Ovis aries: one gene and its partner. Each later gene encodes a partner of the first gene's protein in a complex. Links are inferred from orthologs where the notes say so. Each region holds a gene or a part of one and is shown in the gene's direction. Other genes may lie near its edges.

What was found. The genes of interacting proteins can lie anywhere in the genome.
Region 2: the proteins of TNKS (region 1) and USP25 are in contact, whole or in part, in a crystal structure (PDB 5GP7), measured with the Homo sapiens proteins. The link is inferred for Ovis aries from reciprocal best matches to the Homo sapiens genes TNKS and USP25. Residues at the interface, in NP_003738.2 of Homo sapiens: Arg836, Ser838, His842, Leu843, Gly846, Tyr847, Leu871, Asn876, Ser879, Tyr880, His882, Asp900, Trp902, Phe904, Glu909, Gln912, Lys913, Gln934, Glu935; in NP_037528.3 of Homo sapiens: Ser1046, Ser1048, Arg1049, Thr1050, Pro1051, Ala1052, Asp1053, Gly1054, Arg1055.

The regions. Positions count from the first base shown.
Region 1 is NC_056079.1:24,771,875-24,776,284, forward strand, and holds part of TNKS (poly [ADP-ribose] polymerase tankyrase-1), read left to right. Parts: intron 1-54; coding exon 55-200; intron 201-1,944; coding exon 1,945-2,110; intron 2,111-3,440; coding exon 3,441-3,660; intron 3,661-3,947; coding exon 3,948-4,057; intron 4,058-4,410.
Region 2 is NC_056054.1:142,137,775-142,142,937, reverse strand, and holds the start of USP25 (ubiquitin carboxyl-terminal hydrolase 25), read left to right. Parts: upstream 1-1,777; 5' UTR 1,778-2,129; coding exon 2,130-2,174; intron 2,175-2,381; exon of another isoform or gene 2,382-2,620; intron 2,621-5,163. UniProt on the Homo sapiens protein: Deubiquitinating enzyme that hydrolyzes ubiquitin moieties conjugated to substrates and thus, functions in various biological processes including inflammation and immune response.

The DNA.
Region 1 (4,410 bases):
AATACTAATGTTCTGTTTGTGTTTGTGTGTGTGTGTGTGTGTGTGTCAATAAAGCAACTTTGCAGCCCTCAGAATGTGAATTGCAGAGATTTAGAGGGCCGGCATTCCACGCCCTTACACTTCGCGGCAGGCTACAACCGTGTGTCTGTTGTGGAGTACCTCCTCCACCATGGTGCCGATGTCCATGCCAAAGACAAAGGGTATGTGTTAGAATGTCACTGTGTGGAATTCATTTCCTTGATACTTTAAAAAAAAATTTTTTTTTTTCATGATAGATTTTTTTCCCCTTGTTAAAAAAGTAATTTTTTTTTTAAAAGCTTAAAGCATAATGCTTAAAACTTTGTTGTTTTATAGTAGCTAAGTCATGTCCAACTCTTTACAACCCCATGGACTGTAGGCTTCTCTGTCCATGCGATTTCCCAGGCAGAAATACTGGAGTGGGTTGCAGTTTCCTTCTCTAATGCATCTTCTCCAGCCCATGCATCAAACCCATATCTCCTAAAGTATCAGGCAGATATATTTTTACTACTGAGCCACCTGGGAATCCCCCCAAATTAAAACTTTATGAAAATGTATAGAAAGTGAAAAGTCCCTCTCATTCCACCTCCTAGAGATTACAACATCAAAATTTTGTTGTAATTGTGAGGAGTTTTGAAGCACATGTGTACCAGTGTGTGTGCTGTTGTGATGGGGCTTGTTTTTAACATAAATGAAGATGTCATCCCGCAGTCTGCTTTACAGTTTGCCTTTTTTATAATAGTATATCTTGAATGTCTTTCTGTATCAGTACTAAGCAGTTCATTTCATCCTTTTAATGCCTATATATACTATTTTTTTGTATTTTGTAAATAAGTTTATATAGTTTATTGTTCATCCCTCCTTTTGCTGTTAAATCTTTTCTCCTCCAAAAAGAGTCATCCATGTTAGTAGAAACATTTCATTTTTACTAATTCAGATAGTCTCTATTTTTGTATTGGCTTATGAAACTATTTCAGTTTATCTAGACAGGGTTTAAAGCAGACACAAAAGACATCTAGAAAAGCACGAAGGAAGTTTTAACTGAAATGAGCTTCCATATCCTGAGTTAATTTCATATCATCTCAAAATATAAATAAGCACCTTCCTGTGCAGTTACATTGCTAACAAATAAACCACACAACTTAGACTTCAGTTGGGCTTCCTTGGTTGCCCAGACAGTAAAGAATCTGCCTGCAGTGCAAGAGACAAGGTTCAGCCCCTGGGTCGAGAAGATCCACTGGAGAAGGGAATGGCAACTCACTCTAGTATTCTGGCCTAGAGAATTCCACGGACAGAAAAGGACTGCAGTCCTTGGGATCACAAAGAGTCGGACCTGACTGAGCAACTACCATTTTCACTTTCACTAGATTTCAGTTAACCATTTTGCATTTATTTCTCTTTTAAAAGAAAGACGTCAGACATGAACATTTGATATTAATCACTATCTCTTTCAAAGTATTATGGTTCGTTAGAGAGGAGCCAACATTTGTTTCTATTGCCCCATTTTAGCACTTAGTATTTTTGGTCTCAAAACATTAAAAACAAAAACAAAGAAACCGGATCTCTCTAAGCAAAAAGGTCCTAACTTGATACCTTGTGTCTGCTATGTACTAAGTGCAACTTAAATTTATCTTTTGAGGCACCCTCCTTTTTTATGGGGACACTTTTTGTCCTTTTAGAAGGCCAGCTGCCTTGTAATCAGAACTTAAACGAGTCATCACAGAATAGTTTGTACATCTGACTAGAGTTCTTGGTTGATGTCATTATTTTCATTACTGAATACTGACTATCTTCAAGATCAAAGAATTATTTTTCTTAAGGGAGTGTTCAATAATAGTCAAATGCCATAGAGAATTATTTTATTATATGTATCATTTTAACACACCGCTTTATTGTATGTCTTTAAAATAATTTTCTTTGGTTTAGTGGTTTGGTGCCCCTTCATAATGCTTGTTCATATGGACACTACGAAGTAGCTGAGCTCTTGGTAAGACATGGGGCTTCCGTCAATGTGGCGGACTTATGGAAATTTACCCCTCTACATGAAGCAGCAGCTAAAGGAAAATATGAAATCTGCAAGCTCCTTTTAAAAGTATGTACTTTTAAAAATTATAAAATATAAGGTAATTATAGTTATTATTTGGTTAGGATGTAAAATGACATCAAGGTAAATTATTCTGTAATACAGTGCAGTAAGTGCTGTAGAGACTGCTTCCGTTTTCTGTTCTAGGGGGATGTTTAAGTGTGATATCATGATTCTTACGTAGCTTTGAGTAGTGGCTGAAGTGCCTTTCTGAACTGATTTGATTATGTTGAGTTCATCACAATTCAACAAGGTAGGTTTTGGAAAGAGTTGAATTAGCTTGCATTACTTATCTGTAACTGACAATTAATATCAGAAGATATTTATATAAGAAGAAATGTGTTTTTCCATCAAGTTTGATTTTTTTTCCTCGCTAGCTATTTTTATTATTGTTAACAAACTCACCTCTAACTATTAAGCATTAATTAAACATTAAAAGATAGAAAATTAAAAGATGTGACAAATGACTGGACATGTATTTATATCATTTCCTCTCTCTCTTTTTTAAACTAGAGAGAAACTTGTCTTAGTTAAATATAAAATTCTTCTCCTACCACTTTTATGGGATCAGATGTGTTCATATGAGTTTTAAGAATAACACTGTAGTTGATACTAATTTTTATTGTCCCTGGTTAAGTAAGAAATAACTTCTAGGTCACTGTGAATTCACTGTCTGGGTTGGTTATTCCAAATTTCCCCAGTGAGCCAATAACATCTGTGTCAGGTCTGTAAATAAAGATTCTTGACTTTTAATTACTTTATTTCATAAGTATAAATGATTAAACTTATAAAATCAAGTTAATTGTTAATATATTTCTATCTAATTTCACCTTAGGTGCTCAGACTTAAAACAAAAATATTTTTAAATTACCAAACTTTCTTTTTACTGATTCCATTTGGAATTGAGTATTAATACTTTTTCCACCTGTGTCTTCCTCTTCTCATTTCATCAGCACTGAATATCTTTACATATTAATAATCAAGATTTGATTAACATTTCTAGCCAGGCCATCATTAAAAGGAAAAGTGGTTTCCAAAGACAGCATAGAGTCTGAGACAGTATATGCTACAGAAGTGAAAGACATTTGACACCTTTCCCTCTCACCATCACAGGTCATCCTGAGGCATGGGGCTTTGGATGGGAAGTAGTTGGAAAGCTGATCCCAGTTTGTTGCTAAGTAGGAGATTTGCAAGAAAAACCAAATGTTGCCTCTGTTTTTCACAATGCACACAGAATAGGTATTTTTCTTTGGAGGAGTGAAAGTGAAGTTAAAAATAAAGAAACAAAACGTATTAAAGATGCTACAGAAAACACAAACACCATTTGGTTATTTTGTAGCATGGAGCAGATCCCACTAAAAAGAACAGAGACGGAAATACACCTTTAGATTTGGTAAAAGAAGGAGACACAGATATCCAGGACTTGCTGAGAGGAGATGCTGCTTTGTTGGATGCTGCCAAGAAGGGCTGCCTGGCAAGAGTGCAAAAGCTCTGTACCCCAGAGAATATCAACTGCAGAGACACCCAGGGCAGAAACTCCACCCCTCTGCACCTGGCCGGTAAGCATCACCAGCACTTCCAAGGTTCATGTCCTTTCTTGGATACAGTTCATAAGAAGAGGAAAGAAATGCTGATCAGGAAGAGTGCTGCTACTCAGTAAAATGCTTCACTGACATAATTTTATATAACTTATTATAAATCTTATAAATTTTTTTATTCTTAATCATTCTTACCTAGTTTTTAAAACAGAAAGTATTAAAAACCCAGTATTTTCTGATCATTATCATTTATATACATTTTTTTTTCCTTTTAAGCTGACATGTTTGCTTTTTTTTCATTCTAACAGCAGGCTACAATAACCTGGAAGTAGCGGAGTATCTTCTAGAGCACGGAGCAGATGTTAATGCCCAAGACAAAGGTGGTTTAATACCTCTTCACAATGCGGCATCCTATGGGGTGAGCGTGCTAAAGTCCAGAAAAGTTCACTGATACTTACTACTTGGTTAAATACATACCATACATGAAGTAACCAACAGATACCTAACCAACAGCATAATTTAGTACAATTTTAATCTTACTATTTAAAGTGTTTCTAGCCTTAGCCTTCTCAGTTAGGCTTAACTGTCTTTTGCCCAAAGACCGTATATTTTTCAGCTTTTTGGACTCTTCACATTATGTAGTACAATAATAGGTATTTAATGGCTGCTCAGCTAATATTTATTGATACAGATAATAAATCTTAACTGTACCTTATGTAGATTTTATAAACTCTGAAAGCCAGCAGGCTACTCTGTAAGCATGAAAATTAT
Region 2 (5,163 bases), on another chromosome or scaffold:
TGAAGAAGAACTAAAAAGCCTCTTGATGAAAATGAAAAGGAGAGTGAAAAAGTTGGCTTAAAGCTCAACATTCAGAAAACGAAGATCATGGCATCTGGTCCCATTACTTCATGGCAAATAGATAGGGAAACAGTGGCTGACTTTATTTTTTGGTACTCCAAAATCACTGCAGATGGTGATTGCAGCCATGAAATTAAAAGATGCTTACTCCTTGGAAGGAAAGTTATGACCAACCTAGACAGCATATTCAAAAGCAGAGACATTACTTTGCCAACAAAGGTCCGTCTAGTCAAGGCTATGGTTTTTCCAGGGGTCATGTATGGATGTGAGAGTTGGACTGTGAAGAAAGCTGAGCGCCAAAAATTGATGCTTTTAAACTGTGGTATTGGAGAAGACTCCTGAGAGTCCCTTGGACTGCAAGGAGATCCAACCAGTCCATCCTAAAGGAGATCAGCCCTGGGTGTTCACTGGAAGGACTGATGTTAAGCTGAAACTCCAAAACTTTGGCCAGCTGATGCAAACAGCTGACTCCTTTGAAAAGACCCTGATGTTGGGAAAGATTGAAGGCAGGAGAAGGGGAGGACAGAGGATGAGATGGTTGGATGACATCACCGATCAATGGACATGAGTTTGAGTAACTTTAGGAGTTGGTGATGGACAGGGAAGCCTGATGTGCTGCAGTTCGTGGGGTTACAGAGTCGGACACGACAGAATGACTGAATTAAACTGAACTGAACCACGGATTATTCCTTCTCTCGCAGCACACTGCATCTTCACATCCTATTTGTGTCCCACCCCCAGATTAGCTTGTGAAATTCAAGATATTTTTGAGGTTATAGACTGCTTTCTCAAAATTAGGTTTTCCTTACTATTCCATATATAATCAAGTATTTCAAGAAGGGTGGTTAATTGATAATTGTTTTGCAACTGGGGTATCCTGTACCATCTAGGCAGTGATATTTTTGTAACACTGTCTGTTGAATAGACCGTATTTCATTTACGTCAAACCTTAGGAAAATAAACTTTTATTTCCTAAGAGCCTGCCAGTGACTGGCACATGTTTGAAAAGACGAAGTTGACAGAGACTATCAATATTAACTTATGTAATGATTAGTTGCAGAGAAAAGTACATTCCAGCGAAAGGCCTTCTGACAGCCTTTTGCTTAAATCACAATTGACTTTTCTCTTCGGGCAAGTTTACTGCTTGTGAAATTCCTAGAAAGGGCTGGGGAGAGGACTCAGAAAGACCAAGGATTCGGGATCCAAAGCGGTTTGGGAACGTTCAGGGACCTAGAGGAAAATGTTTCTCTTAGAGGGATATGGAAATCTGACAAATTCTGGGCATGAAGAGGCACGATGCCCTCCGGCCTTGGCTTGAAGCGTCGCGGAGCCGCGGGTAGGCGTCGCGCAACCTGCCGCAGGGGCGGCTCCGAGGCCGGGCCCGCGTGGCGCTCGTTCGCCCCACCCCGCGGGACTCCAGGACGGGGGGCGGGGCTCCGGAGCGGCCCCGCCTCCCGTCACACCGACCCGCGGGTCACAATGTAGGGTTAGGGCGGCCTGTGGGCGGGGCTCGGCGGGGGAGGAGCCGCCAGGCGGGGGCGGTGACGGCGGTAGAGGGAAGGGAGGGGAGGGGAGGGGAGGGGGCGGTAGAGGGAGGGGAGGGGAGGGGACAGGAGAGGAGGGAGGGGAGGGGAGGGGAGGGGAGGAGGAGTTGCGGTGGGAGGAGGACAGCGCCATTCTGGCCGGCCGCTCCCTCTGTCCCCTTTCCCTTCCCCGCAGTGGCCCGCGAGCCGCCAGCGGAGGAGCGCGCGCGCGCGCGTGACGCGTCCGGGCTTGCTAGCGCCCTCCCGCCCCCCAGCGTCCACCGCCCGCTCATGGCCCGGGCCGCGGCCGCCGAGCCGCGCTGAGGCGGGCCGCGCGGAGTCGTGGGGCCGCCGCCGTGGCCCTCGGTGTCCGCGCCGCGCCGCCAGCCCGTGGTGCCCGCGCACGCCGGCCGTCGTCGCCTTCGCGCCTGGCTGGCGGGGGCGCTGTCCTCGCCGGCCGTCCGCGCCGCTCCCTGGGGCTCGGCGGAGCGTGGCAGTCAGGGCCAGCGGAGGCTCGGGGAGCCGGACGCCGGCGCGGCGGGGGCCATGACCGTGGAGCAGAACGTGCTGCAGCAGAGCGCGGCGCAGAAGGTGAGGAGACCCGGCCCCGCTCCTCCGCCCGAGGTGCCGCCCTCCCCCGCCGCGGCCGGGACCTCCCCGCCGCCCGGGCCTCCGCGGCCCCAGCTTTCCCCGCGCCGCCGTCTCCCGCCCCTGCCCGCTTTGGGGGCGTCGCTCCCAGTTCCGGGCTGCGTGTGGAAAGCGGGGTGTAGTTAGCGGGTTTCAGTCCACTTCCTTCTTGCCAATTGTTTTCCTGTAACCGACGGTGATGGGTGTTTGTTGAGCGCGACCTTACATTCCTACACTCCTCTGTATGACTTCCTAATTAAACTTTATCTTCCTCGTCTTTTTTTTTTTTTTTTTTTAAGAAAAAGAAATAGCCGGTTGTCATCCCTTGTGAACCCAGTTTTCTTTCCAAGACAGGAGCCTTCCAGATCTGCTATTTTGCAAAAGAGTCTCCACCGCAATTGAATTGCCAGGTACAGGAACCAGGTGGACTCAATGTAAAAGTAGAGGATTTGGTTGGTTCCTTTTTCTTTTTGTTTTTTTTTTTTCCTTTTTTTTAAAAATATAGAAACTGTCCCTTAAGAAGAGACCTTTTCGGCCATGCTTATTTCAGGTATATTTTGTCCCCTAAGTTTGACCTTGTTCCATCCTCACCCTTTACTCTTGCCTGGGTCACACATTAAAGAGGTTGTTCCCTTAAAAAAAAAAATCTGGGTTTGTGAAGCTTCAAATCTTTTCCGTTAAGTATAGTTAAGTGAGAGATGCTACTTTTCCCCCTTCGATTTTGCTTTCGGAATCTGAAGTGCACTCTCACGGGTTGCACCATATCCTGGAGAGTCGTTGGCTATGGCTTAATTTTTGGGGAGGGGGTTATTGGTGTGAAAAACATTTTGGGCAAAAGGAAAACCATTACTTTACTCGTCTTGAAATTATGGTGGTGACCACGGTTTACTGTGAAAAGCTGGTAGAACTATTCGATTTTTCTGGGAGAGTAGTGTGAATGCCCCACCCTGTGGTGTTGATAATCAGTAGTTTTCTTGGCATCATTGTATCCTACCTGTGCTTGATTTTAAAATAAGGCCTACTGTCGTAAAATGGACTATGTATACTCACAGCGTGCTAAGTTTTTGCTTTGAGATATTTTTAGAATTTTATGGTAGTACTTGAAGTAATTGAAGATGCTCAAGAATTTTGGAAAGCGAGCATACTGCATTGTTATTTTAGGCACTTTGGGGAAGTTTTCTTGGAACTCTTGTGTGTTAGTTAATTGTTATTGGTTAATTTGGGCATCCCAGGTGGCTCGGTGATAAAGAATCTGTCTGCAATGCAGAAGACTCTGGTTCGATCCCTGGGTTGGGAAGATCCTTTGGAGAAGGAAATGGCAACCCACTCCAGTATCTTTGCCTGGGAACTCGCATGGACAGAGGGGCCTGAGGGGGTTTCTGGTGTGGCATGGGGCCATGGGGTGGCAAAGAGTAGGACGCCACTTAGCAACTAAAGAGTGACTGGGTTGATTGAGAAGATGTTGCAGACTGCGGTTTATTTGCAGTGAAATAATTCTAGTTTTAATAATGGGAGCTTAGAACAGTTTATCTCCTAATCCCCTTCATTCTGTTTTGAATACTTTGAACTTTAGTTTTTGATGTTGAGTATGTGACAAAGTGTTAATACTTAGAGGAGGATCTTGTGGCCATAGTATACTGAGCAATATTTAGTAGGCTTGGTGTCCTTCCGGTTTATAGTTCTCTTCAATGTTAAGTGTTAAAGCCTATTTTTTTTTTTCAAAGTGGGAAATGTAGCTCATGGTTTTCACATGTCAGATTTGAACAATGGCAAAAAAATTTGTGAGTTTTTAAAATTGATTTTTGACTAATGTACTTAGATAATGCAGATCTGCCCATTTCAGAGGTTTATGCATAAATTTGAATCAAGAATAAATTACTAAAAGTGATCTTAGCCATCAAGTCCAGTTTCTTAGTTTAATGAGTCCCCTCCTTATGCAAAGGGAGTAGTTGTTAGTCTAAAATACTACCATTTTGACACTGTTTTTACTATGTGTCATATCATCTCGTTGAGATTGTGGACATTTTTTAGAGCAATACAGTCGCATTTATTTTTATACTTCTATTATGGTGTTTATGTATTAAAGAAACATTTAATGTGTTTGCTTGCCATATGAATATGCTGTTCTTTGTTACTCATGTTAGTACTATTTTCAAATATTCATACAGGTTCAAATACTTTAAACCATCTACTTCAAATGAACTGACATTAAAATCCACCAAGGTAGTAACTAGGAAGTAGACTTCAAGCTAGTAACTAGGAAGTGAACTACTTTAGAAGAATCAAAAGTGAAACTCTTTGTTTTTAAAATGGAAACTATGAATTATTAGTAAAATGAGAAGTGTCTAGTGCATACTGCATAACCAAAATTTCAGCCTATTTTCTGCTCTTCTGTAAAAACTTGTTGTATGCTCACGTGTAATATCAGCTTTATGTCTGTTCATTGGAACAGTTTCTTATTTTGTGAGATTGTTTTTTTTTTCTTCCCAAAGGATGTATAATTATAATTAAAAAAAAAAAAAGTAGCACAACACTCAGGTCTTTTTTTTTTTCAAGTAACACAAAACTTACAGGTCTTCTGTTTACCTACAGAGTGGCTTGTCACAATGTAACATAAGGCAAGGGGTGTCTTTTCCTTTGCCTCTGATGTGTTCTTTGCTTGATCGCTCAAGTTTGGCCCTGGCAGGGAGTTGTGAGATTGAGTGAAACTGCAAAGAGCCATTTTCCTGAGGTTTAAGATGATACAGGTGAATTGGAGTTGGTATCAGATTAGCTAAGGTTAAGTCCTGTCATAATTTTGGTCTTGAATGTGTATATTCGGCCTTTCTGCTTGATATTTACCTGAAGTGTAGGATTCTCATCTCAGAATTTTGGTTCATTGATTCAGGTCCCAAATGAGGATTCTTTAGGGCAGCAATATATTAAATAGAAGGCATTCTCTTAGAGACCAGAT